Arabidopsis thaliana: one gene and its partners. Changing the gene in region 1 together with any one later gene gives a genetic interaction. Each region holds a gene or a part of one and is shown in the gene's direction. Other genes may lie near its edges. The genes, in order: HUA2, HUA1, FRI and FPA.

Region 1 (7,665 bases):
ACTGCTTTGTCAATTACTTGATATAGTTGAAACTTTGATACTGTTCGTTGATACTTGTTCTTCTGTGGATTTGTAACTTGATTCCTGCTACTAGTTTTAATGTCCACAGTCTCAAGAGTGTCTGGTTTGTGACGAGTTAACACTTTCTGAGTCTCAAATTGTTTGTTGTGAGTCTGTGACGCATCTTTAATCTTTGTCTTTGATACAGGTCTTGCAATTTATGATACTATGCAGTACATTCGTTCTCCTATTAGCACAATTTGTTTGGGTCAGGCTGCATCAATGGCTTCTCTTCTGTTGGCAGCGGGTGCCAAGGGGCAAAGGCGGTCACTTCCAAATGCAACTGTTATGATTCATCAGCCTTCAGGAGGATATAGTGGACAGGCTAAAGATATAACGATTCATACAAAACAGATTGTTCGTGTGTGGGATGCGTTAAATGAATTGTATGTCAAACACACGGGTCAACCTCTTGACGTGGTTGCGAATAACATGGATAGGGATCATTTCATGACTCCTGAAGAGGCTAAGGCGTTTGGAATAATCGATGAAGTGATTGATGAAAGACCGTTGGAGTTGGTGAAAGATGCAGTTGGAAATGAAAGCAAAGATAAGAGTTCAAGTTAGGAAGTAACTGGTAATCAAAGTAATAAATTTTCTTCTTTTCCTCTTACCAGTTTTGCTTTGATCCTGTTAGATTACTTTTTTCTATGGATGAAGTTATGCTCTGAGGGCATGATCTCTCAAACTGTTTTTATTCATTCATAAATCAATCATGACTATATTTCTGAAATCTTTTCCTCGCATGTTTAGTGTTTACAGTCTCATATCTGATTCAGTAAAATGAATATTGGATTAACGCTTGGCTTTGGGTCTTAATTTTATGTGCAGTTTGATGCATTGCAAATCTTTGATTTATGCATCATTTTATACTAACTAGAAAGTCTAAAATGATGAGATTATTGTCTAGTTTCAGAAACCCCAGTTCTAGTTGGTTAGTTTATGTTAGAAGATGGGGTTTGCTGTTTCCTTATGCTCTTGATCGATGTTCTTCGGTTTCATGTTTTTGCTTACCTCATCAAGTCAAAGCCACATCTATTCTGATTTGCCTCTTTTTATATAGAAGAAGTTAGAACACATCATATTCTTGTGTTAACACTGGTCTTTGATTATGCTCTTTGAATTAGGGACAGAATCTTAAGATCTTTATGAAAATTCTTGTACGGTGTTGTCTTGTCGTGTTGAGCTGAGCCTTCAATTGCTAGTGTTTGCTTCTGTTACTCTGAATTATATTTGGACAATCTCACTCTAATAAAAGTTTTTTAAATACTAGCAGAATTGTTAATTTATCCTATGGTTTACATGTTTATATGATTTTGTTGGTTCTATAATGTGTAAAAATGGAAAACATGATTTTTTTTTCCTTTTTTTTAAAAGTATAAATGGAAACGTGTAGGAAAGTGTAAACAAGAAAAGAGGACATAAATGACCCAATGACTTAATAATATATTTGGTTGAGACTTAGGAGTAGTGAGATTAAACTACAAAATAAGGTAAATTGGAAAATAAGGAAAAACCTTTTTCGATTTCGATCTCTCCTTGGTGAAAAAGGAAATTGAAAGGGGAAAAAACGCCGACAACAGTAAACCAAACTTCTCACAAAAACTCCTTGGAAAGTTTTCACCTTCTTTCAGCCCTAACCCCATCGTCTCTCTCTCGCGACCGCCTCATCTCTCTCTGTCTGGATCAATCTCGCTCTCTCTTTCTCTCGGCTACGTCGCTGTTTCTCGTTTCGTGATCCGTAGCTGTCTCCGCTACTACCTTAATCAGCGAGCTTCTTCCGGTGGAATAATCTTCGGATAGGAGGAATCGGAGAATTCTTCTAATTGGGTGTCTGGGTTGGATTGGAATACGTAATTCTGTTGGGTGTTCCAATTTCGCGTTCAAAATTAGGGTTTATAGAGGTCTCGCCTATGGCTCCTGGGCGTAAAAGAGGAGCGAGCAAGGCCAAAGCCAAAGGGCAGTTGGTTCTCGGTGATCTGGTTCTCGCCAAAGTCAAAGGCTTCCCTGCTTGGCCTGCCAAGGTGCGTTATCATTATGATTCCTCTATTGGGTTTTAATTTTTCTTACACAGATTCTTGTTTTTTTTGCTTCTTCTCTAATTGAATTCTCATATAGTCCTTAAGTCCATAGTCATCATCTTTAACTTGTTGGGTCTTCTGTTTTTATCGTTACGAATTCTAGAATACACATTAACTTCGTCGAATTGAGCTCTAGTGTGTTCTGTTTCTTTTTGTTGAGATACTAGGCTTCATGATTAAGTTGGTTTGAAAGTCAGTTAACTCATCTATCTAGTTACTCGGTCAGATTCCATGGTTGAATTATGAAACACACATGTTATTCATCTCGATAAATAATGAGCTTCCGAATCTCTCTAATACAATTCTCTTTAGTTAGTCTCTCTTGTGAAGTAATTTGGTTTTGAGTTTCAGATCAGCCGGCCTGAAGATTGGGATCGTGCGCCAGACCCAAAGAAGTACTTTGTTCAGTTCTTTGGAACAGAGGAAATGTAAGCTATTCTCTTTTATTCTTTGATTCTGGTACCTTCTCATCCAGAAAGGTATATGAACTTTAGTCAGTATATCATGTTGCTAGGAATTAAGTAGTAGACCTCGGTTATCAGGTGTTTCAACATGTTACCAAGTGTTTTTCTTTTTGGCTGACAATATCTTTGGAGTTGATTTTGTCTTTTACAAACTGATCATTGACAAAGTTATCTTCCTTTACTGCAGAGCTTTTGTTGCGCCACCTGATATCCAAGCCTTCACTAGTGAGGCAAAGAGCAAACTATTAGCAAGATGTCAAGGTAAAACTGTCAAGTACTTTGCACAAGCTGTAGAGCAAATCTGCACTGCATTTGAAGGGTTGCAGAATCACAAGTCAAATGCTTTGGGCGATGAGGATTCTCTGGATGCTACTGAACCTGGTTTGACAAAGGCTGAGATAGTGGATGGAACAGATCATATTGTCATTGAGTCTGAGAGAACTGATAACTTTAATTTTAGGGTGGATCCTTGCTTCCCCAAATTAGATGAGAATAATGGTGAGGAGAGAAAGGCTGAGATAAGGAAGCTAGATTCATCTTCATTTCTGGAATCAAAGGTCAAAACCACATCCCCTGTTAGCGAGTCACTGGAGCATAGTTCATTTGACCCTAAAATAAAGAAAGAAGATTTTGATAAAGGAACTGACGGTAGTGCTTGCAATGAACATTTTGGTAATGGCCAAAAGAAGCTGGCTAACGGTAAGAGAATTAAGAAGGAAGCAGGTGGCTCTGATAGAAAAGGTGAAGATACAGTTCATCGAGACAAAAGCAATAACTCACATGTGCCTGGTGGTCGAACTGCCAGTGGTAACTCTGATTCCAAAAAATCGAAAGGTCTGTTGACAGAGAAAACCAGCTCCAAAGTGTCTGCTGATAAGCATGAAAATTCACCTGGCATCAAGGTTGGGGTTTCCGGAAAGAAAAGGAGGCTTGAAAGTGAACAAGGTAAGCTTGCACCAAGAGTAGATGAAAGCTCACGTGCTGCTAAAAAGCCGCGATGTGAAAGTGCAGACAATAAAGTAAAGTGTGAAATTGATGATGGATCTGATTCTACTGGGACTGTATCAGATATTAAGCGTGAAATTGTTTTAGGATTAGGTGCTCGCGGTGGAAATTTTCAATATGATAAAGAAGCAGTTGCATATACAAAGCGCCAGAGACAGACAATGGAGCATGCTACCTCTCCTTCTTTTTCTGGGTCTCGTGATAAATCTGGGAAAGGTCATCTGGAACAGAAAGACCGTTCCTCTCCTGTTCGTAATGTTAAGGCTCCAGCTGCACAGTCGCTGAAAAAACGGAGGGCTGTTTGTATCTACGACGAAGATGATGATGAAGATCCAAAAACCCCATTACATGGAAAACCAGCCATTGTTCCCCAAGCAGCATCTGTTTTGACTGATGGTCCTAAAAGGGCTAATGTGTGTCACAGTACTTCTACAAAAGCTAAGATATCTGCTGGATCTACAGAGAGTACTGAAGTAAGAAAGTTCCCTCTGCGTAAACATTGTGAGGATGCATCACGTGTATTACCAAGCAATGCGGAGAATTCTACTAATAGCTTACCTGTGGTAAAACCCATTAATGAATTGCCGCCAAAGGATGTCAAACAGATCTTGCAATCTCCGAAGATGTCCCCTCAGCTGGTTTTAACTAACAAGCACGTTGCAGGACAGCATAAAGTTGTAAAATCATCGGTGAAAGTTTCTGGTGTTGTGATGGCAAAGAAGCCTCAAAGTGATTCTTGTAAGGAGGCGGTTGCGGGATCTGACAAAATAAGCTCTTCTCAGTCTCAGCCAGCAAATCAGAGACACAAATCAGCTTCAGTTGGAGAGAGGCTAACAGTGGTTTCAAAAGCTGCATCACGTTTGAATGACTCTGGTTCAAGAGACATGTCTGAGGACTTGTCTGCTGCTATGTATGTCACATTCTATCTGTCATCTTTTTGTGTGTATGTCGCCTACTGCTTATAATTATTCTTTTCTTGCAGGCTTGACCTCAATAGAGAAAAGGGGAGTGCTACATTTACCAGTGCAAAGACCCCAGATTCGGCTGCATCTATGAAGGATCTAATTGCTGCTGCGCAGGCAAAAAGAAAACTTGCACATACACAAAATTCAATTTTTGGGAATTTGAACCCTAGTTTCTTGAGCATCAGTGATACACAGGGGAGGAGCCATAGCCCATTTATGGTTCAGAATGCTTCAGCTTCTGCTGCCATCTCAATGCCGTTAGTTGTTCAAGGTCATCATCAACAAGGTTCTTCTCCGTCAAATCATGGGCATCAGTCCTTATCAAGAAATCAGATTGAGACTGATGATAATGAAGAGAGAAGACTTAGTTCAGGGCATAAGTCAGTTGGAGGTTCACTTAGTTGTAGCACTGAGGCTGCTATTTCTCGGGATGCTTTTGAAGGCATGTTAGAGACCTTATCAAGAACCAGGGAAAGTATTGGACGTGCAACTCGCCTAGCAATTGATTGTGCCAAGTATGGGCTTGCTAGTGAGGTAAGATGGTTGGTTGGTTTTTCATTATGTTTTTTCTTAAGGCTTCGACAAACTTATTGTTAGGCTGCACATATCAAATCAATTTAGAATTGCACTTATTCTGGCTTTACTTCTTGGATGTTTAGCTTGCTACGTAAATTGCTTTCTCAAAATTATTTACAGCATTTGGTGCGTAATATTGTTCAGACAATAGTTGCTTTAATTGGAAATTTGTTTGTGTTTTTATCTAGGTGGTGGAACTTCTCATACGAAAGTTGGAAAGTGAATCTCACTTCCATCGTAAAGTGGACTTGTTCTTTCTCGTCGACTCTATCACCCAGCATTCGCACAGCCAAAAAGGTGAGCTTTCCTCTTGGATAGATGCAATACCTGTTCTCAAATTTTCACTTCCTTCCCTGAAATGCTAATAATACCGTATTTATTAGCATTTCAGGGAAGTAAAAAATTCACAAGCATTGTTGTATTGTTTTTTACTGTATACAAAGAGAACACCTAATATATTTATTATCATTAAAGATTAAATAATTTCCAGTGCTTGTGAATTTTGTAGGTATTGCTGGTGCTTCTTACGTTCCTACTGTGCAAGCTGCTTTGCCACGTCTTTTAGGTGCCGCTGCTCCTCCAGGGACTGGTGCTAGTGATAACCGTCGTAAATGTCTGAAGGTATTTAAACTATTTGCTTGTTTCTATGTTATCCTTACAGTTTTGTAGGCTGGAGTCAGTGACCTCTTTGTTTTTTTAGGTCCTGAAGTTGTGGCTTGAAAGGAAAGTTTTCCCTGAATCTCTTCTGCGTCGTTATATTGATGATATTAGAGCTTCTGGTGATGATGCAACTGGTGGGTTTTCCCTGCGACGTCCTTCTAGATCTGAGCGTGCTGTAGATGATCCTATCAGGGAAATGGAAGGGATGCTTGTTGATGAGTATGGCAGGTATGCTAAACGATTGTCTTGCTTAGTAGTGTACTCTCCGGATTATATATGTTGCTGATGAAAAAATAACAGGCAAGGTCTGTTGCCATTCTGTAGAGGGTTTATTAACTTGTTTGTCGTTTTTTCTGCAGCAATGCAACGTTTCAGCTGCCAGGGTTTTTTTCATCTCATAATTTTGAAGATGATGAAGAAGATGACGATCTTCCAACATCACAAAAAGAAAAAAGCACATCTGCGGGGGAACGTGTCAGTGCTTTAGACGACCTGGAAATACATGATACCTCGAGTGATAAATGCCATCGAGTTTTGGAGGATGTCGATCATGAACTTGAAATGGAAGATGTATCAGGCCAGCGGAAAGATGTAGCACCTTCCTCTTTCTGTGAGAATAAGACAAAGGAGCAATCACTGGATGTTATGGAACCTGTTGCAGAAAAATCAACCGAGTTCAATCCTCTTCCAGAGGATTCTCCTCCGCTACCTCAGGAATCACCTCCCCCTCTCCCTCCTCTACCACCTTCTCCCCCACCTCCATCCCCTCCTCTCCCGCCATCATCTCTGCCACCACCGCCTCCCGCAGCGCTGTTCCCACCTCTTCCACCACCTCCGTCTCAGCCTCCTCCACCACCACTTTCACCTCCACCTTCACCGCCGCCTCCACCTCCACCGCCTTCACAATCATTAACAACTCAACTCTCCATAGCTAGCCATCATCAGATACCATTTCAACCAGGATTTCCTCCCCCAACATATCCTTTATCGCATCAAACATACCCAGGATCTATGCAGCAAGACCGCTCTAGTATTTTCACCGTGAGTTCTTTGATTTGTTATGTTTCATTTTACTCATGATTCCTCACTATACATATGCATCTTTTATCATTTTTGTTTAAACCCCCTGGACATCATGTGCAGGGTGATCAAATTGTCCAGGGGCCTGGAAATTCTTCACGTGGAGGTCTTGTTGAGGGCGCTGGAAAACCCGAATATTTTGTGCAGCAGTCCTCCAGTTTTTCACCAGCAGGAGTGTGCAGCTCCAGGGAGCCTTCATCATTTACTTCCTCCAGACAACTAGAATTTGGGAACAGCGATGTACTTTTCAATCCTGAAGCTTCTTCACAGAACCATCGGTTTCAGCCGAGCACCCCTCTGTCCCAAAGACCTATGGTTAGGTTGCCTTCAGCACCGTCCAGTCATTTTTCGTATCCAAGCCATATTCAATCACAATCTCAGCATTCCTACACTCATCCTTACCCTTTCCCACCTCAACGTGATGATGCACGGCGATACAGAAATGAGGAACCATGGCGGATTCCTTCAAGTGGACATAGTGCAGAAAATCAGAATGGTGCCTGGATACATGGAAGAAATTCACATCCAGGCCTTCCTAGAGTCACAGACAGTATGTAGATGCTTAAATCCTAATAGACCCTTTACCTGTTAAGGTTTATTAACTTGCATGATTGCTTGTGGAGTTGTAATCATTGTGATACTTCTGTTGACTATGATTGTCTAGCTTGTATGTTAATGCCATGGCTTAGTTCCTTGAAATTGATGGTCTTATTTGCAATTCTACAGGTTTCTTTCGGCCACCTCCAGAACGTCCACCTTCAGGGACAATGAACT
Region 2 (6,308 bases), on another chromosome or scaffold:
AAGGATCGCTTACACGAGGGGGGCCACAGAGATAAAGCAACACCCTTTCTTTGAAGGAGTGAATTGGGCTCTAGTTCGTAGTGCTGCCCCACCTCACATTCCAGACCCCGTGGACTTGGGACCGTACGCGGCCGCTAGAGGTAAGACCAAGAGCCATGGAGGTGGTGATCACTGTAACTCAATGAAGCCGGAGCCTCTGGTCGCCTGTGCTGCTGGTCCCACGGATGATACGGCGTATATAGATTTCGAGTACTTTTAGACTTAAAACTCCACAAGCTGAAAGTTTCGATATGTTTGTTTTTGTTCATATTCTTTAATTTTGGCGAATACAAATTGTGATTTATAAAAGAAGAACAGATGACTTGGTTTAAGAGACTAAAAGAGTTTTACTAAAAGAGTTAAAGCAGATTTTGTGTGTGAGATAACAATTTGTCAATGAAAAAATCCACAAAAGCTTCTCTGAGTCAATTAAAATGTCCTAAGAGACAACACTCTTCTCGACATAACAGAGCGTCAGAACCATTGGTTCCAAATTTCTCGCTGCCTTATTCTTATCGTCATCCTCCGACCAAAGTTCCATCTTCTGCACAGAGATGTTGATGAAGCACTGTTTTGTGTCTCATAACGCCAATGATCTCTGTTTCTCTTTCTCCAACTCCAAATTCAATCTTGCAAGCTGCCCAAAGAAGCCACCTCGTCTCACCTGCGTTGTCAATGTTGGATTCCAAGATATCGCTGAGGTCATCCACAACAAGGTTTCGCCTTTTTCTCTTCTTTCATTCCTTTTTTTGGAGGGTCATCGTCACTTAGGCTTTTGATTTCACCGGCGTGAAGGTACTCATAGCTGCTGGGACTTCTGCTGTGATTGGGCAGCTCTCAAAGCCATTCACTTCTGTCGTTTTGTATGGGAAAAATCTGGACTTTAGAAGTGTCTTTCAAGCTGGAGGTTTCCCTTCAACACATTCTTCTGTAAGCTTATCCTTTTTTTATTCTTGTTTCCTCTGGTAATATTGTTTGTCTACTTCTCTGACATTTTGGCCTAATTCTTGAGAAACCAGTCTGTTGTGGCTGCAGCAACTGCTATTGCTTTTGAAAGGTGATTAGCCTGAACCTTTCTCTTCTCAATTCCCCTAAATATACTCAGCTTATGCAATTTCCTGAATATGGTTTGGCTTCAGGGGATTTGCTGACTCCATTTTTGGTCTAACTGTGGTTTATGCTGGCCTTATCATGTATGATGCCCAGGTAAAATAGTCTATAGAGAAAAGCTTAGGCTGGCTTTTGTTCAATAGGTCTTTGTTGGTTATTCTCAAATTCTCAATGTCTGATTCTAGTGTTATCTTAATGTCTCACTGATTGTAACATTGCAGGGGGTGAGGAGAGAAGTTGGAAAACATGCCAAAGTGTTGAACAAACTAACAGCTAATGCTCGTAGAAGTGAAGTAATGAGTTTAAAGGGCAACGAATCTAACAAAGCTTTGACATCAGAAGAGATCAGTGAGGAGATTGCTCCTCCATTGAAAGAATCAATAGGACACACTGAAGTTGAAGTCATAGCAGGGGCTTTGTTCGGTTTCTTAGTTACCCTCAGTGTTTATTCCCTGATGTAAAAAAGCTCCCAACTTTATAAAAACTATATATTTTTTGTGTTGATAAGAAAGAAAGAGAATTTAATAATGTGCAAACTGCAATAAAACAGAGAATCAGTGGTAATGTCAAATCAAGTTTTATGGATCTGAGAATTTTTGTTCTGTTTGAGTTGGTTGTAAACCCCACAAACACAACAATTTTGATAATTTGTTTGACACCAAAAAAGTAGAAAGCTTTTTCCTTTAGGGTTTCCTTTTTCGATCGAATGGCACATCGTCAATTGTATAGCTACGCCCTTCAACCTTCTTATGCTGCTGCTGCCTCCACCGTATCTCCAGCTCCTCCTCCGCCGCAACAACCACTGCCGCCAAAAACCGGTCTTTCTTCTCTCTACGGTTCTTCTGCTGACCATTACTTTCCGGATACCACGTATCGTTTCTTAGCTCGTGATGGATCCGAAGCTTTGAGCAACTATTCAGGGACTCTTGCATCGTCTTCCTCTATGTACCATCATTTGCCTAACACGACGGCATCGCATTTGGCGTATCCTCAGCTGCTTCAGCATCAGGAAGTTGCTTGGCCACCTGGTGTGGAGGTTCCCGGTGCTGCTTCCGCCGTCGAGCCACTTCCTCCTGGTGTCAAACGCACCTCTGAAGGTAGGCTCTTTGTTTACCTTACTATTTATGGGATCTGCATCATTTTCTTATTTATTGCTTGGAGAACTATGCCGCATAACTTGAAAAGTTAAAGACTTCAGCTTTCCCTTTTCTCTGCTCATCGTGATACTCTAGTTCTGTAGCGGAAATTAGTGTTTTTGATGGTTTGTTTCTTCAATTGCAGCATAAAAAACTCAGCTTTAGTCATGGTCTCTAGCCTGATTCTTTCTAGGATAGATTTTAATTTACATTTGCTCAAGCACAATGATGTTGGTTTGTATTCCTCTGTGCTTTCTCGTTAGCTGAAATAGAGGTTGGATTGGTTTGGCCAATTGCTTTGTTTTGAGTCTGGACAACGCGAAGCTTGACAGTTAGAATCATCTTTCAGGAGATGCTTAGGGATTGCATCTATAAACTATATAGCTTATGGTAGTGTTCTTGATTAAGTCTTTGTTGCTTTAGGATTGCCTAACGATAATTGTTTTTAGTTTTGACCTTAATGTTTATTGGAACACTTGGTGATTTTGCAGAATTGATTGATGATTTATGTTTTGTTGTAACTCTATGGTTTCCAATAGATTTTCAGACATGATTGTATGTAAGCCAGAATTTCTTACTGTAAGTTTAACTAAAGATACAATTGATTATTGATGCTATATCTTGGTTTTTGCTATAGTATCTCCCAAATTTATTTTCAAATTATACTTATAGTCAGTATATATCTTCTCATTTCGTTGTATATTATTGTTTATTATGTAATTTAGCGCTCTACTATCCGACTCTGTTGGGTGCCCATAATACAATTGGTCAAACCGAAGCTTGGTATACTACAGACTATTTTACCAAGCGCCCTAAGTTGGAGAGTACAAGCCATTTGCCTATATATCCACAGAGGGCAGGAGAGAAAGATTGTACCCACTATATGCAAACAAGAACATGTAAATTTGGAGAAAGCTGCAGGTTTGATCATCCTATTTGGGTTCCTGAGGGCGGAATCCCAGATTGGAAAGAGGTGATCGTTTACTACTATCTAAGTATTTCTTATGCCCTCATATGATTTTTACATTATTATGATAACGTTTTTCTATATTCTGTTATGTACTTATATGTTTTATACTGTGGGAGTTTGTGCCTAATTACTTTGTAACTATATATATTGTTTTTGTTTGGTATACGAGGTTATAGAATTACTACATTATCATGATAGTGTAGGTATAGGTATGACAAATGGTATCTTATTGTTATTCAAGATTTGAGCTTCCCGACTTCTGCAACCGTGTTTGTTATCCTTGCTTTTCCCTTTGTCAGATCATTCCTTGACTTGGAAGAGACATCATACTCATTGTCTAGGCATTACATGATAAAATGATATGATTGTTTTTGCTTATGAATATCTTTTCATTCAGGCACCAGTTGTTCCAAATGAAGAGTATCCTGAGAGACCAGGAGAACCAGATTGTCCTGTAAGCTGTTCGTGAAAACTTTTCGAGCTATTTTATTTCTGTTTCGCCTGAAGACCTGAGACTATCTTTCTTTTATTTTCACTGTTATCCAGTACTATATAAAAACACAACGCTGCAAATATGGTTCAAAGTGCAAATTTAATCATCCAAGAGAAGAGGCTGCAGTAAGTGAATTTTCCTTTTCCAAATAAAATTATCCCTCGGGTTGTGTATTTGCCTGCAGACACTCGCATAAAATCTTGTGCTTGTAATATGTACTGCTTTAGTTTTTTCTTGGGCTGTGCATGCACCTAGAAGCTTGATGCTCTTCTTTATTTCAGGTTAGTGTTGAAACTCAAGATTCATTGCCTGAGAGGCCTTCTGAACCTATGTGCACAGTAAGATATAAACATAATTGATTGACCTATCCTATTTTTATAAATGCTCTTACATATGAAACTAATATCGATTATTAATTTGGCATTTCTACTCTGCATCAGTTCTACATGAAGACTGGAAAATGTAAATTTGGTTTGTCATGCAAATTCCACCATCCAAAGGATATCCAGCTACCATCATCGAGTCAAGATATTGGTAGCAGTGTGGGGTTAACCAGTGAGCCTGATGCCACAAACAATCCGCATGTCACATTTACCCCAGCATTGTATCACAACTCAAAAGGACTACCTGTTAGATCGGTAATGAATTCATCTTCACTTTGCATAAGACTGACTTATAATCATATAGGCACAATTTGTGACTTTCTACTATCTTATTGGCACTATACTTAGAACTGATTATGGTTTGCTAGCATTGTATGCTGACCTGTTCTGACGTCTGAGAATGAAGTTTCACTAATTAGATTGTAGCTTTTTCAGGGTGAAGTGGACTGCCCATTCTATCTCAAAACGGGAAGGTGAATATCTCTTGTATAATACTATTTTGTTGTTTAGAACATTGAAACAAAGAACGTGACATTAACGTTCTAACTTGTTTTCCTTTTCCATAATCAGCTGCAAGTATGGAGCCACTTGTCGCTACAATCATCCTGAGAGGACTGGTTTGTGATCATGCCAAAATTTTGTGGTTTTTAGAACCTTTAACGTATTACTTTTATCCCTAAATTCTCATAATGTGCGATGTTTTGATTCTGTGCACAGCATTCATTCCCCAAGCTGCTGGGGTAAACTATTCTCTAGTTTCATCGAACACTGCGAATTTGAACCTTGGGCTGGTTACACCAGCTACCTCTTTCTATCAGACTCTTACTCAACCCACGGTAAAAGCCTTTATTCATGTTGTGAGAAATATTCAAGAGCGCTTCTTTAGTTGATAGGGGTTTAATTAGAGTGGAAATTGTTTCAGCTTGGAGTGATTTCAGCAACTTATCCCCAAAGACCTGGACAATCAGAATGTGACGTTAGTATCCTTGTTTCTTTTAGAGATTGCTGAGCTTTTTCTCCCACATGTTAGTTGAAATTTTATACCAAAAGCTCTGTCTTTCAATATTACAGTACTACATGAAGACAGGGGAGTGCAAGTTTGGAGAGAGATGCAAATTCCATCACCCAGCAGATAGGTTAAGTGCAATGACCAAACAAGCTCCTCAACAACCAAATGTAAAGCTGAGTCTTGCAGGGTATCCCAGAAGAGAGGTACCTATAAAGTGGTATTATTAGAAGCCTGCATGTTGTGAGTTTGTGTGGTAATCTCATAGACAAAACAAAAACTGTTGCAGGGTGCGCTTAATTGCCCTTATTACATGAAGACAGGAACTTGCAAATACGGGGCAACATGCAAGTTTGACCATCCTCCTCCAGGTGAGGTGATGGCTAAGACCACTTCAGAAGCCGATGCTGCTGGAGCAACCAACACCGACACTACTCAATGAGTTTCCCAGCTTTGTGTAACATAAGATGATATCTTGTTGTAATCCTAGTTTACTTCCTATGTACTGCATCTGTTTCGTTTCGAAATGCTTATCGCTCGTGAGTTCTCTACTTCTCTTTATCATCCTAAAACAAAAAAGATATCGTTGAGTGAGTCTTCTTTTACTCAGTTGAGCTCATAAAAGCAAAATTGTTCATCACCACTCTTCTCTCCTCAATGATCCAATTGAGCATTTATCTGCCGTTGATTCGGTTCTCTTGGATAAATATCGTTTCCATTGTGATTTTGTTTATAGCAATTGTCAGTAAACTCCAACTAATCTCCACAATAAGATGAAACAACACGTAACAACAAGATGTGACAGAGTGACGACAGAGAGCCAGTGCATGAAACATGCTTCTTCAGCAAGACACATGTCGGTGCTAACTGCTAAATCAAAAGTGGGTCCAATGTTTTGTTCTTAAGAGTCGAAGAAGAGGACATGACATGAGAAACAGAGGCAAAGGAAGAAAACATGGACTAGTTGTCTCCGTGTCTCTGATTTTAAGTTTTGATGAAACATGTGGAAGGCCTCTATTAATGGTATAACGACAAATGATGAAAGTAGCAAAGGAGGACTCAAAAAGTTTGATGCCTTTTTGATTGGATCTTTTAAAAATATGAGCACACTTCCCTATAATACTTCTATAATCCAAAATACTCTTTTGGGCCTATCTTACCAAAATTATGC
Region 3 (4,984 bases), on another chromosome or scaffold:
TAACCTCACTCTCTTCAGAAGTATTGTACCCTTCTGCTTCTAGTGATTCAAGTGCAACCTGCAGCCTTGCTTCAGCCAGAGATAATGCCATAGTAGCCTTCTGAACAGCTTCTTTAGCAACGGACTCTTCATCAACAGCCTCTTGAACCACATTAAGTGTTTGGTTTACATCGTTCCACGCACTGGCTGCTTCATCCTTAAGTGCTATCGCTACCTCTGAAATCCTCTGAGCCTTTTCTTCAAACATGGTACTGTTGAGACTAGCCACTTCCAATTCTTTAGTTGCCTTATTCAGTAGATCCCTGAGTTCCTCCAAACTAGGTGCAGAATCTTGCTCTCTTGTGTCTTTCTCTTCCTTAGAAAACGTAACCTCCCTGTCATCACTACCTTCAGCAAATTCCAAATTCCGGTCATTCCCAACCAAATCTCCTACAGAATCGCTACTTTGACAAAGTAACCTAAACCCCAGCGGAACATTTTGGGGTTTTGCAGGAAGCAAATGACCGTAAAATCTTCCATTGAAATCAGCATTCAAAGTCAAAGAAGAACGATACGATACATTTCGTTTCGATCTAATAGCTGAGCGAACTTTAGAATCAATCATCGGATCCCAAAATCTAGTGCCGCCGAGTCCTTTGGGACAGAGTTTCGCACTTATCATTCGATTCGGCAAGCAGTAACTCGCAAAATCCGCACCACCGTGAAACATACTCTGGCGCTGAACGCTAGACGCAAAATCCATATTACTGCTGCAGAAAGACGGAGAGAACAAGAGACTGACCGATCATAAGAGAAGAGAGCTTCAAGGCTTCAGCTGATGAAGAATCAATGGCGGCGAGAGTGAGTGAGAATCGAGTAGTTACTGAGAGGAAGATGAAACGTATCTCCTGAGAAAAAACGTAAGAGAGTTCCGTTTCAACAGTATTTTTCTCGGCGGTCTTCAGATTTTCCGTCCAACTCTCTCTTTCCTCTTTCAGTTTTTTTTTGCCCAATCACTCGTGGTAGGATTTTTTTATAAGAAAGTTACGAAAATGCCCTCTCGTGCTTAGAGAGATTCAATTCGTGCACATATAATATGCCGTGAATATACCACCAACTCTCTTACTCGTACTCGCATGTGGTGCGTGCAATATACACGTGGTTCGAATCAACGGCTACGTTTTACTGATAGGTGGCTCGTTTAGTTTTGCACTGCCTTTGGGTGCGCGTGACCAAGTCATTTTCCAAATGTGTTTTAATATTTGTGAACTATTATTAATAAAAAAGCGAGCGACGTTGTTCGTTGATGAGGGAGCGACCGTACGCTTGGCGACCTTCTCTGATTGCGTAGAGTCGTTTTCCTTATTGGGCTTACCTAGTACCGTCAGCCCACAATGTTTTCATTTCTTTCCCACCTAAAACTAAAAGTACTCACAAGTCACAACTTAAACCAAGTACACAAGGATTTTATCATGGGATTATCGTGTTTGAAGACTAAAAAGAGCACACCATCACCCCCATTAGTGCAGGTAGAGTAAGACAGTAACTTTTGGGTTCATATTACCGAGCAAGAACCGTTATTTGTGATTAGACATGTTATAAACCACTGCTTTAGTGACTATTTAAAACAATATATTACATGTCGTAATCATGCAACCTAACTATGTTTTCATTAATCAAATACAAAGAATAAAGAGAAAAGTGCGTAGATTCAATTATTTGGCATAGACTCAAAAGAGTGTATATATATCTGACTTTTATTAAATTATTAAACACAAATACATATTTTCATAAGCAAAACTATAAAAGCCCTAAACATATAACGATTACCTCAAAGGAAAAAGTCGTTTTCTCCTAATTAAAAGATAGGTTACTTCCTAATTAATATATAATTTATGTGAACTTCACAATATACAGTTCAATAAAATTTGGTAATTTGACCGATTTAAGGAGAGTGGAAATTAGGGCTTCTGCAATCTTTTTTCTTCGCCGCAATCTCATGTCCAATTATCCACCGACGGTGGCGGCGCAACCCACAACGACGGCGAATCCACTGCTGCAGCGACATCAATCTGAACAGCGACGAAGAGAATTACCGAAGATTGTCGAAACAGAGTCTACAAGTATGGACATTACGATCGGTCAATCTAAGCAGCCTCAATTTTTGAAATCCATAGACGAATTAGCTGCGTTTTCAGTTGCAGTGGAAACATTCAAACGCCAATTCGATGATCTTCAGAAGCACATCGAGTCAATCGAAAACGCAATTGATTCCAAACTCGAGAGTAACGGCGTTGTCCTCGCCGCGCGGAACAATAATTTCCATCAGCCGATGTTATCGCCTCCGCGGAACAATGTATCTGTAGAAACCACCGTCACTGTGAGCCAACCGTCTCAGGAGATTGTACCGGAGACGTCGAATAAACCGGAGGGGGAACGTATATGTGAGTTGATGTGTAGCAAAGGTCTGCGTAAATACATATACGCGAATATCTCTGATCAAGCTAAGTTAATGGAAGAGATTCCTTCAGCTTTGAAATTGGCCAAGGAGCCAGCGAAGTTTGTATTGGATTGTATTGGCAAGTTTTACTTACAAGGGCGTAGAGCATTTACTAAAGAGTCGCCTATGAGCTCTGCGAGACAAGTTTCGCTTCTTATACTGGAGTCTTTTCTTCTAATGCCTGATCGTGGTAAAGGGAAGGTGAAGATTGAGAGTTGGATTAAAGATGAGGCGGAGACGGCTGCTGTTGCTTGGAGGAAAAGGTTGATGACTGAAGGAGGATTAGCTGCGGCTGAGAAAATGGATGCAAGGGGTTTGCTTTTACTAGTTGCTTGTTTTGGTGTTCCTTCAAACTTTAGGAGTACAGATTTGCTGGATTTGATAAGGATGAGTGGTTCGAATGAGATTGCCGGTGCTTTGAAGCGGTCACAGTTTCAGGTACCATATTCTGTTCTCACTCGGTGAATTTCATTGCAAAGGTGGTTCCTTTTGTTGACATCATCGACCAACATCAAGTTCCATCTTTGTTTTTCGATAAGCTTGATGGTATAAACTAGGAGAGCACATCAAATATTTAGAGTGCAATGACTGATTGAGCCAAATCCTAGCTAGAAATTAATCTGGAAAGAACTTGGAACTCTCAACCATAGGTTTTGGTACGAAATTGTTGCTTGTCAGAACCAAATGATAGGCTATTGCCTTGAAATAGTGTTTCTTGTGGTTTCCAATATTGGAAGTTAAAATCATATGACTTAGCTGTTGGATACTAATTAAGCTTAAGCAATGCCAACTCTAAGAAGTGGTACTTACACAATATTCTATTGGTCATAGGTATAGTTGAATCAAGTATCAAGCGTGGAATGCATATTGAAGCTCTTGAAATGGTTTATACCTTTGGCATGGAGGATAAGTTTTCAGCTGCTCTAGTTCTAACTTCATTCTTAAAGATGAGCAAGGAGTCATTTGAGAGGGCAAAACGGAAAGCCCAGTCACCGCTGGCATTTGTATGAACCCTTCCCTTGCACATTATGTACCTTTATGAACTCTTTATCATCATCTGAGTCTGACCATTGATATATTTATTTCTCAACAGAAAGAAGCGGCTACAAAGCAGCTAGCTGTGTTATCATCAGTTATGCAGTGTATGGAGACTCACAAGTTAGATCCTGCGAAAGAACTACCAGGATGGCAGATCAAAGAGCAAATTGTTAGCTTGGAGAAAGACACTCTTCAGCTCGACAAAGAGATGGAAGAGAAAGCAAGATCTCTCAGTTTAATGGAGGAAGCCGCACTTGCCAAGAGAATGTATAACCAACAGATAAAACGTCCAAGGTTATCACCCATGGAAATGCCACCAGTAACTTCTTCATCGTATTCTCCTATCTACCGTGATAGAAGCTTTCCTAGTCAAAGAGACGATGACCAAGATGAAATATCAGCTCTTGTGAGTAGTTACCTCGGCCCGTCAACATCTTTTCCTCATCGCTCAAGAAGATCCCCGGAATATATGGTTCCACTTCCACATGGTGGGTTAGGAAGAAGTGTATATGCATATGAACATCTGGCCCCAAATTCATATTCTCCAGGTCACGGACATAGACTTCATCGACAGTACTCTCCGTCTTTGGTTCACGGACAGAGACATCCACTACAGTACTCTCCTCCAATTCATGGACAACAACAGTTACCATATGGTATACAAAGGGTTTACAGACATTCACCATCTGAAGAAAGATATTTGGGTTTATCCAATCAAAGGTCTCCTCGCAGTAACTCATCATTAGACCCCAAATAGGAGGAATGTAAATTTGTAACAAAGCTTTTTGTTTTTGCTTAAGTTAGTCATTTATTTAACTCCCAACAGTCTCAAAATTTAATTTAATGTTTGGGGCTTAAGAATGCAAATTTTTTTGCTCCTGTAATTGACATTTAAGATGCTAATGTTATTGCTTCAGAGGTTTTAGTCAACCTCAGATACATCGATATCACTATCTAAATAGACCTCTGGCTCTTGGTCATCTGGATTCTCTTCATCTTCTGTCTCTGTTCCTTCTTGTTCTCGTTGCACTGCTCGAGCAATTGCGGATTCCAACCTTGTGCTTACAGTTTCCCATGACACAAGCTTTTCCATGAATGTATTTATGTCCGCCTTCTTATCTTTCTTGAGGAAGATGAATTCACCGAAGATCCAACTTGAGCTTGACAATCAATCAAATCCGAAACAGAAACAGAGCTTTTTGACATCTTTGATTTAGCAGTCTTTGATCTTGAGGAATATCAATGAACACTAGATACACTCACACTTGCAGGCTTTAAACTGGATTTTAAACATGAATAGAAGCATTGATTCCATGGAATGTGGTAAGTGACATAGCTGGACTTCTTAAACAAATGTATGAACGGGTAGGGTTCATTACAATGTAGTTATACAGCACTGAGATTTATGGAAGAAAAAAAGGACACAGCTTTAACTATCTACAGAGAGACAAGAACACTAAAGACAAG
Region 4 (7,735 bases), on another chromosome or scaffold:
GTTGTGACACTTGAAGTGAGTTTGTTGGATAGTATTTTGGCTTTTTGCATATTCAGCTGCTTAGTACCTTCCTTGGATTTATTAGCTCTTGTTGGATTTGTAGGATGGTATTGCATCAACGCTTCAATGGTTCTCTCGGGATCTTGAGAAGTCTGATGACACAATCATTCAATCTACTGCAGATCAGCTTCTTGGTTGTGGGAAAGGTTAGAACCATCTCGCTATTAACAATTATAATGCCTTTTTGAAGTGTTCTTGGCTAAGTATTCAGTTGTATTGCTTGAAGTCCGCATCTCATCTAGCTATGGATATGATGATGCATGTTCACAAGGCTTAACCTGGAAAGAATCTATCTCTATTTTCAACTTAGATTTGTTTGCTTCTAGATGTCTAGAACATGCTGAAGTATCTGCTTGGTTAATTTACATCTTCTTCCAGTCCATGTAATTTCATGCGAGTTCCAACTTTATTTCATGCACATATAAACAAACTCAAAGCGAATCTGGTCAATGCAAGCTTTTAATATTAATCTCTTTAAACTGACTTAGCTTTTCATCTCTATGTTCTCATGCAGTTGCAGACATCTTGCTGTGGAGAAATGAGAAGAAAACCTTCGTTTCTTTTCTTGTCCTAAACTTGTTTTATTACTGGTTCTTCTTTTCTGGAAACACATTTACTTCATCTGCAGCCCAACTTCTGTTTATATTTGCTGTTGCTCTCTATGGAGTCTCTTTTGTGCCGTCAAAGATGTAAGTATTGGTTCCAGAACTTTACCATTATAGAAGGCAGTGAAAATAAGTTGTGATACCAAAATTGTCCTATCAAAGGATGATGCACCCATGTATATATATTTCACCTTTGAAATCTATATGCAACTAAGTGACAGATTGATTTATTTTGACAGTTTCGGGTTTCAAGTCAACAAAATACCCCCATGGAGATTTGAGATCTCCGAATCCGCTGTGAGAGATCTTAGTAGTGATATCGTAGTTGTCTGGAATCAAGGAGTTCGCAGTTTTAAATCCTTAAGCAGTGGAGGAGACTGGATCAAGTTCTTCAAGGTACAATTCTACTCTTTATGCTCACCAAACATGAAAAATATCTCATTGCTCTCGTTTCCTAAAACAAAACATAAAAACAGATTGCAGGATCACTGTATCTCCTCAAACTGATTGTATCCCGTTCATTGGCAGCATTTCTTTTCACAGGTACTCGAACAAAGCTTTTGTTTTCACACTTCATAAACATGATTAACAACTTCATAAACATGATTAACAACTTCTTTATCCATAACATTTTCTCTACGCTTTGCTTGGACAGTTATGTCGTTCTCATTCACCGGTTTCTTCATCTACGAGCAATACGAGCTTGAGCTCTACCACCTAGCCCGGATATTCGTCGAATGCTTAACATTTATTAAAAGGATGGTGATACCTGTTTCTGATGCTTCATCTAAACCAATGTTCATGTGAAGCTTCCAAAGTCCTCCACTAAACGAACACCAACAATCCCAGAGACTAATTGCAGTTATTAGATGTCTTATGTACAAACATTATGCTATCAGGATGTAATCTTCACTGAGAGGGGATGGATATATGATTATTTACGAATTTGCCATAACTACTATCAAAATGCACCGTTTTGATCCGGTTTCCAAAAAAAAAAGAAAAAAAAGGAAAGTATCCTTATATATCCTTTAAAAGCCGCCGCTTCGATATTCCCTGGCCTCTCTTTCTCTCACAATCTAATCTTCTTCGTCTTCAAACTCAATCTAGGGTTCTCTTCTCCTCTCTGTAGGTAGGATTTTGAACACCCAAATCTCTCATCGAATTTTTCTTGCTCAACGTATCATCGCACAATTCGTCTCTCGTTTTCCGTCACGTGGATAATCGAAATCTCATAATCCCAAAGGTAAAACAATCAATTCTGGGATTGGAATTTTGGATCCATAGGATCGTCAATTGAAACAATCCCGATGGCGTTATCTATGAAGCCATTCAGAGCCGATGATTCCGGTTTCCAGTCAAACAATCTTTGGGTCGGTAGCCTAACGCCGGAGACGACAGAGTCAGATCTGACCGAGTTGTTTGGAAGATACGGCGATATTGATAGAATCACGGTGTATTCTTCACGAGGCTTTGCGTTTATATACTACAGACATGTGGAGGAAGCAGTCGCAGCCAAAGAGGCTCTTCAAGGAGCAAATTTGAATGGAAGTCAAATTAAGATCGAATACGCACGACCGGTTTGTTCTTATCTATATCTTCGTTTGTTCTCTAACTTTGATTGTCTTTTGTCAACGATTATACTCTTTTTGCGAATTCATAGTCCAGGTTCACAAAACTTTGATGATGCTTGTTTAGTCCAAAAATTTCTTGTTGAATCTGTTTTTTTTTTCCTCATCGTACAAATCAAAGTCGAAACCTAGTTTTTTTCTATTATACGTCGTTAGCTTAAGGCGAAACCTGATCCGATCGAAACGTCTTTTCTCAAATTACTTTGGTTATATCGAACTCGCGCAAAGCCAAACCACAGAGAAGCTCTGCAAAATTTGATGTTAAAGCATATATAACTCTTAGCGAATGAGCTCTGCAAAAGAATACATCAAACACATGTTTACTCTCGTTTATGCGAAGAAGGTTTAATCCGATTGTCGTTTATCTGCAAACTTGTATCCGCGTTTAGCAGTCTGATTTCAGGTTCGCTTCAGATGTTAAATCTCACAAGCTTGAGTATGAATGTATTGCGTACTCCACTCGAAATTCGCAATGGTGAAAATTTGGAAGCGAGCAAACTCTATCATCGGCCAAACAGATAAGAAATTTTGGAGTTTAAAAGTTCAGTTTCCTGCAAAAATCAAACCGCGTGGAGAAATTTGTCTATGGCGGTACGTAGATATCAATAACTGCATCTGCGAAACAGAAAATTCTGGCAACCGTATCGTCCTAACTCCTAGTATCGCTGGCACATATCCATATCAGTGTGAGGGAGTTTTGGGCTTGTTTTGGCTCGATGCTTCAGGAAGACAAATTACGTGGTTGTTAAGGCGGCTAACTCTACCAATCAGAAACGCTTTATTCGAAGAACCATGTTTGTTCCTCAATTCCCATCCCTACGTACAATCTGGGCTTTCCCATTGTAGTTCCTTAGGAAGTTGACTTCTTCACAACCATTCTGGGATTGGTACAGTTGCAGTGGACAAGACAAATATTCATTTGCAGGCAGACTCAAATTTCAATGTCTTGCCGGCTTTGAGTACTTAAATGGAGTGTTCAGGGATTGGTTTATTTGGGACTCAGGCAATGGATAAAGACAGGAATGTTTTGCAGAAAGTATTAATGTCTTTCCGGCTTTGGGGACTACATACTTCTCCTACAGACAAAATCTGATGTTTAGGCAAGAGAAACTATTAACACTGATTTAATAGAGAAAGAGGAGATGGTTTCTCCTTGCGGCAATTTTATTTGTTTAGGAAAGCAATTGATATGAATTGGTGTCGTAGTGTAGTTGAAATTACTAGTTAGTTTGTGTGTTTAGTTTCCTTGATGTTTGATGCTTTATTCTTGGCAACCTATCTGGGTAGTATCGCCTTCTTATCGACCTTTTCTTGTTGCAGGCAAAACCTTGTAAGAGTCTATGGGTGGGTGGAATCGGCCCTAATGTCTCCAAGGATGACCTGGAGGAAGAGTTCAGCAAGTTTGGGAAAATCGAGGATTTTAGGTTTCTCAGAGAACGCAAGACAGCTTTCATTGATTATTATGAGATGGATGATGCTTTACAGGCTAAGAGCATGAATGGAAAGCCTATGGGTGGTAGCTTTTTGCGTGTTGATTTTCTCCGGTCACAAGCGCCAAAAAAAGTAAGCACTCTTGTGGCATTTGATTTTTACTTTTGAAAACGCTCCAGTAAACATTTTGTTTAGTTTCATAATTTGCGTCAAACTGATAGGGCTGAGCTCTGTCTTGTGCCCCTAGGAGCAGTATTTACTCGTCTCTATTTCATTGTAGAGTAGGCTCAACTTCTTAAGTCTGAAATCAAGTTACCTTTGTGTTATCTTCAGGAACAATGGGCTGGCTCTTACGATAACAGAAATGGCAATATGAATCATAAACCGCAGGTTAGTCTTGAATGTTGAAAGTATGTCTCTTGTTACTAGTGATATGTATAGGTTACTGGTTTTGACGTTTTGTTATATTCTTACAGTATCCTCACTCATATGAAGACTTTAAAGGAGATGTCCAGCCAAGTAAGGTTCTGTGGATTGGGTTCCCTCCTACTGCTACACAATGCAATGATGAGCAAATTCTGCACAATGCGATGATACTCTTTGGTGAGATCGAGAGGGTAAAAAGTTACCCATCAAGGAATTTTGCACTTGTGGAGTTTAGGAGCGCGGAGGAAGCTCGCCAATGCAAGGAAGGCCTACAGGGGAGGTTATTCAATAATCCTAGAATCAAAATTATGTACTCAAACGATGAGTTGCCTCCTGAGCAAGACGATACTAGTTTTTACTCTGGTATGAAACGGTCAAGGACAGATATGTTCAATAATGATCCTTCATTTGTATCTTCTCCTCATTCTACTGGAATTCCTGGGTCTATGAGGCCCCTCAGAGGTACAAATGAGCGTTCATATAATGGTGCAGAATACAATGACGTTGTTGGTAAGGAGCCAAACTGGAGGAGGCCATCTGCAAATGGAACTGGAATACTCCCATCTCCAACAGGACCTGGAATCCTCCCATCTCCTGCACAAGGTACGAGGCGCCCTATGAGGTCAAACCCCGATTCTTGGGAAGGATATGATCCTGCTCAGTTGGTCAGAGAAAGTAAACGAACCAGAAGAGATGGATCAGTGGACGGTTTTACTCCAATGGGTGTCGATGAGAGGTCATTTGGTCGAGGTTCAGTTGCTGCTAGACCTATCCGTGGCCCCCCTGATTCTGATCACATATGGAGAGGAATGATTGCCAAGGGTGGAACTCCCGTCTGTTGTGCTCGTTGTGTACCTATGGGAAAGGGGATTGAAACTAAACTGTGAGTACTAATTTCTAGCACTTTAACCCTTCTAGTGTTTTCTTTTTCAGAGCGATTTATATATTTTCCATTTCATTCTCGATGGAAGTAACATTATTATAGATAGTACATTTTTATTTTACTATTACTTGTTTAGTTTCTGAGATGTCTTGATTTTCATGGTGTTGATTCATTTTTGGCATTGCCCTCAATTACTGACTTTGTTTTTTTTTTAATAATTGATTTATAGGCCTGAGGTCGTCAATTGTTCAGCAAGAACTGATTTGAATATGCTCGCTAAACATTACGCCGTTGCCATTGGATGTGAGATCGTTTTTTTCGTACCAGACAGGGAAGAAGATTTTGCGTCTTACACTGAATTTCTCCGGTACCTTAGCTCAAAAGATCGGGCGGGTGTTGCCAAATTAGATGATGGTACAACTTTATTCTTGGTGCCTCCATCAGATTTCTTAACTGATGTACTCCAAGTGACCCGTCAAGAACGGCTATATGGTGTTGTTCTCAAGTTACCCCCGCCAGCCGTTCCTGTTACAGCATCATACAGACAAGAATCTCAGTCCAATCCTCTGCATTATATGGATCAAGCCCGGGATTCACCTGCCAATGCTAGTCACAGTTTATATCCTCCTAGGGAAAATTACATTAGGGGTGCACCAGAACATTTGACAGCTGCTTCAAAACCATCTGTTAGCGAGCCTCTCAGAATACCTAATAATGCAGCGCCTCAAGCTGGGGTTAGTTTAACTCCGGAGCTTTTAGCCACTCTGGCATCTATTCTCCCTGCAACTTCTCAACCTGCTGCCCCTGAGAGTCACCAACCTATGTCAGGACCTTCAACAGTTGTTTCCACAGCACATCAGTCCAATGGACTGTACAATGGAGAAGCACCGTCTCAAGCTTGGAAAAGAGGTCCACAAACAGTTCATGATGCGTCAAATCAGTCATTCCAACAATACGGAAATCAGTACACTCCAGCTGGGCAACTACCTCCTCCTCCTTCGCGTTACCCTCCAGCTTCAAACAACCCCAACTACACTAGTGGAATGGTCCATGGCAACATGCAATACCAGAGCCAATCTGTTAACATGCCTCAGCTGTCTCCGTTACCAAATATGCCTCATAATAATTATTCCATGTACACTCAGGGTTCGTCAAATCATCCTGTTTCTCAGCCCATGGTCCAGCAATACCAACCAGAAGCGTCCATGCCAAACCAAAACTATGGTCCAATTCCAAGTTATCAGCAAGCTAATTTTCATGGCGTAACAACAAATCAGGCACAGAACTTAAACCCTTCCCAATTTCAAGCTGCCATGCAACCACCAGCAGATAAGGCAAATTTAGAGCCACAAAACCAAGCACTACGATTGCAGCCTATGATCTCTGGGGATGGTCAGGGTACAACAGATGGGGAGGTCGATAAGAATCAGAGATACCAGTCAACACTACAATTTGCAGCAAACCTTCTTCTCCAGATACAGCAGAAACAGCAGCAACAGTCTTCAGGTACTCCGGCTGGACAGGGGCCTTGAAACTAGCTCCACTCTCCATCATAATCATAATCTTCAAGGTAATTATCTCTTCTACCCTCTGCCTGATGACTGAGTTGAATGACCATAAGCTTTACTTACATACTTTTCTGATCCTTTCTTGTTGACATATGATAAAGCATGTGCTCGCTGTCGTTGAAACTGGAGCATTTAGTCTGCATTTTTATATAGGGTACATGAAACTTTGTGAAAATAACATAGGACTGCTTTATTGAATATATATACATTTTTTCTGTGTTGCTTGCATTTTCGTTATTGATGTCTACTTTGGTACTTCTTTCTTTGATTCTACCGTGAATCTAGTCTAGTAGTATCACACACAGATTATTATTCTTATCACATGTAAATTGTGCTTTCTCTTGGATCCCCTTTGTTTTCTTGGAGCTATGATGGAGTGTGTGTGTACGAACGGTTGCTTATTTAGCATACCTTGGATTTGTAAATTTTGGTAAATGTGATAAGAATATACTCTCTGATTAGGATTTCTAACTACTTGTATAGAAATATAACAACCGTTGCAAAACTCTCCTTTAATACCAAAGATAAGAGGCAAAGAATCTTGACTGTGATCATTAAGAGCATACAAAGATGACCTGATCGCAGAGAGCCAATTTGATAGACTTGAAAATGCCGTCAGAGCAAAACTCAGACGAACAATCTGATGATACAGATACTCTTATTGTTAACCAAACCCCATAAATTGCTAAAGAAAACACAACAGATTCAATTGTGATTTGCCTTCTTGTGAGCTTAGAGAAAAGTGAATTGAAGGAAGAGAAGCCGTATCACTAACTCATAGCTGTTTTGAAATTGTGTAGGTGATGATTTGAGAGCTAAAAATTGCCTGACCAAGAGAGAGGCTTTGTGCTATAGTAACAAGTTTACGAACTAGCCCTACAGATGCAACCAAATGCTCATCTTCGTTAGGTTTTTTCCTGCGGCGTTTAGATAAAAAAAAAAAGGCTGTATAAAAAATGAATGTCATTTAGATTTTTTCTTCTTTTCTTTTCCTAATTTAGTTGTTCTTGTTGTTCTCATAAACTAAATCTTCAGCATGATGTCAAAATTGTTGATGATACTTCAATCGAGAAACCCAAGTTTTTTTTTATAAATCATACTTCGTTTCGAATCTACTTTCTCGTCTGCCCA

What was found.
Region 2: of HUA2 (region 1) and HUA1, changing one enhances a phenotype caused by changing the other (phenotypic enhancement), as found in Arabidopsis thaliana (one study listed by BioGRID).
Region 3: of HUA2 (region 1) and FRI, changing one suppresses a phenotype caused by changing the other (phenotypic suppression), as found in Arabidopsis thaliana (one study listed by BioGRID).
Region 4: of HUA2 (region 1) and FPA, changing one suppresses a phenotype caused by changing the other (phenotypic suppression), as found in Arabidopsis thaliana (one study listed by BioGRID).

Annotation. Positions count from the first base shown.
Region 1 is NC_003076.8:7,784,200-7,791,864, forward strand, and holds the start of HUA2 (Tudor/PWWP/MBT domain-containing protein), read left to right. Parts: upstream 1-1,635; 5' UTR 1,636-1,973; coding exon 1,974-2,084; intron 2,085-2,492; coding exon 2,493-2,569; intron 2,570-2,792; coding exon 2,793-4,520; intron 4,521-4,592; coding exon 4,593-5,109; intron 5,110-5,339; coding exon 5,340-5,448; intron 5,449-5,659; coding exon 5,660-5,772; intron 5,773-5,851; coding exon 5,852-6,039; intron 6,040-6,170; coding exon 6,171-6,852; intron 6,853-6,954; coding exon 6,955-7,441; coding exon of another isoform or gene 7,442-7,449; exon of another isoform or gene 7,450-7,617; coding exon 7,618-7,665. Other genes in the region: NCLPP7 (nuclear-encoded CLP protease P7), read left to right, coding at 209-627. UniProt on the Arabidopsis thaliana protein: Transcription factor that functions as a repressor of flowering by enhancing the expression of several genes that delay flowering including FLC, FLM/MAF1, MAF2 and SVP.
Region 2 is NC_003074.8:4,024,547-4,030,854, reverse strand, and holds HUA1 (floral homeotic protein (HUA1)), read left to right. Parts: upstream 1-1,714; 5' UTR 1,715-1,855; coding exon 1,856-2,246; intron 2,247-3,010; coding exon 3,011-3,258; intron 3,259-3,652; coding exon 3,653-3,709; intron 3,710-3,801; coding exon 3,802-3,873; intron 3,874-4,029; coding exon 4,030-4,086; intron 4,087-4,188; coding exon 4,189-4,386; intron 4,387-4,566; coding exon 4,567-4,604; intron 4,605-4,701; coding exon 4,702-4,748; intron 4,749-4,848; coding exon 4,849-4,967; intron 4,968-5,053; coding exon 5,054-5,107; intron 5,108-5,202; coding exon 5,203-5,343; intron 5,344-5,426; coding exon 5,427-5,579; 3' UTR 5,580-5,779; downstream 5,780-6,308. Other genes in the region: AGC1.5 (AGC kinase 1.5), read left to right, coding at 1-259; AT3G12685 (Acid phosphatase/vanadium-dependent haloperoxidase-related protein), read left to right, coding at 594-755, 835-969, 1,059-1,096, 1,179-1,245, 1,371-1,610. UniProt on the Arabidopsis thaliana protein: Involved in flower development. Functions in floral reproductive organ identity by binding AGAMOUS (AG) pre-mRNA and promoting its processing. Functions in association with HUA2 and HEN4.
Region 3 is NC_003075.7:267,048-272,031, forward strand, and holds FRI (FRIGIDA-like protein), read left to right. Parts: upstream 1-1,853; 5' UTR 1,854-1,978; coding exon 1,979-2,917; intron 2,918-3,310; coding exon 3,311-3,316; 3' UTR 3,317-3,483; intron 3,484-3,572; 3' UTR 3,573-4,439; downstream 4,440-4,984. Other genes in the region: KEA2 (K+ efflux antiporter 2), read right to left, coding at 1-742; AT4G00651 (Fe superoxide dismutase), read right to left, coding at 4,440-4,677, 4,783-4,832.
Region 4 is NC_003071.7:18,025,230-18,032,964, reverse strand, and holds FPA (RNA binding protein), read left to right. Parts: upstream 1-1,709; 5' UTR 1,710-1,975; coding exon 1,976-2,245; exon of another isoform or gene 2,246-3,396; intron 3,397-3,616; coding exon 3,617-3,859; intron 3,860-4,060; coding exon 4,061-4,117; intron 4,118-4,203; coding exon 4,204-5,036; intron 5,037-5,265; coding exon 5,266-6,568; 3' UTR 6,569-6,606; exon of another isoform or gene 6,607-7,404; 3' UTR 7,405-7,718; downstream 7,719-7,735. Other genes in the region: AT2G43420 (3-beta hydroxysteroid dehydrogenase/isomerase family protein), read left to right, coding at 1-15, 104-206, 575-749, 905-1,061, 1,142-1,208, 1,321-1,472. UniProt on the Arabidopsis thaliana protein: Plays a role in the regulation of flowering time in the autonomous flowering pathway by decreasing FLOWERING LOCUS C mRNA levels. Required for RNA-mediated chromatin silencing of a range of loci in the genome.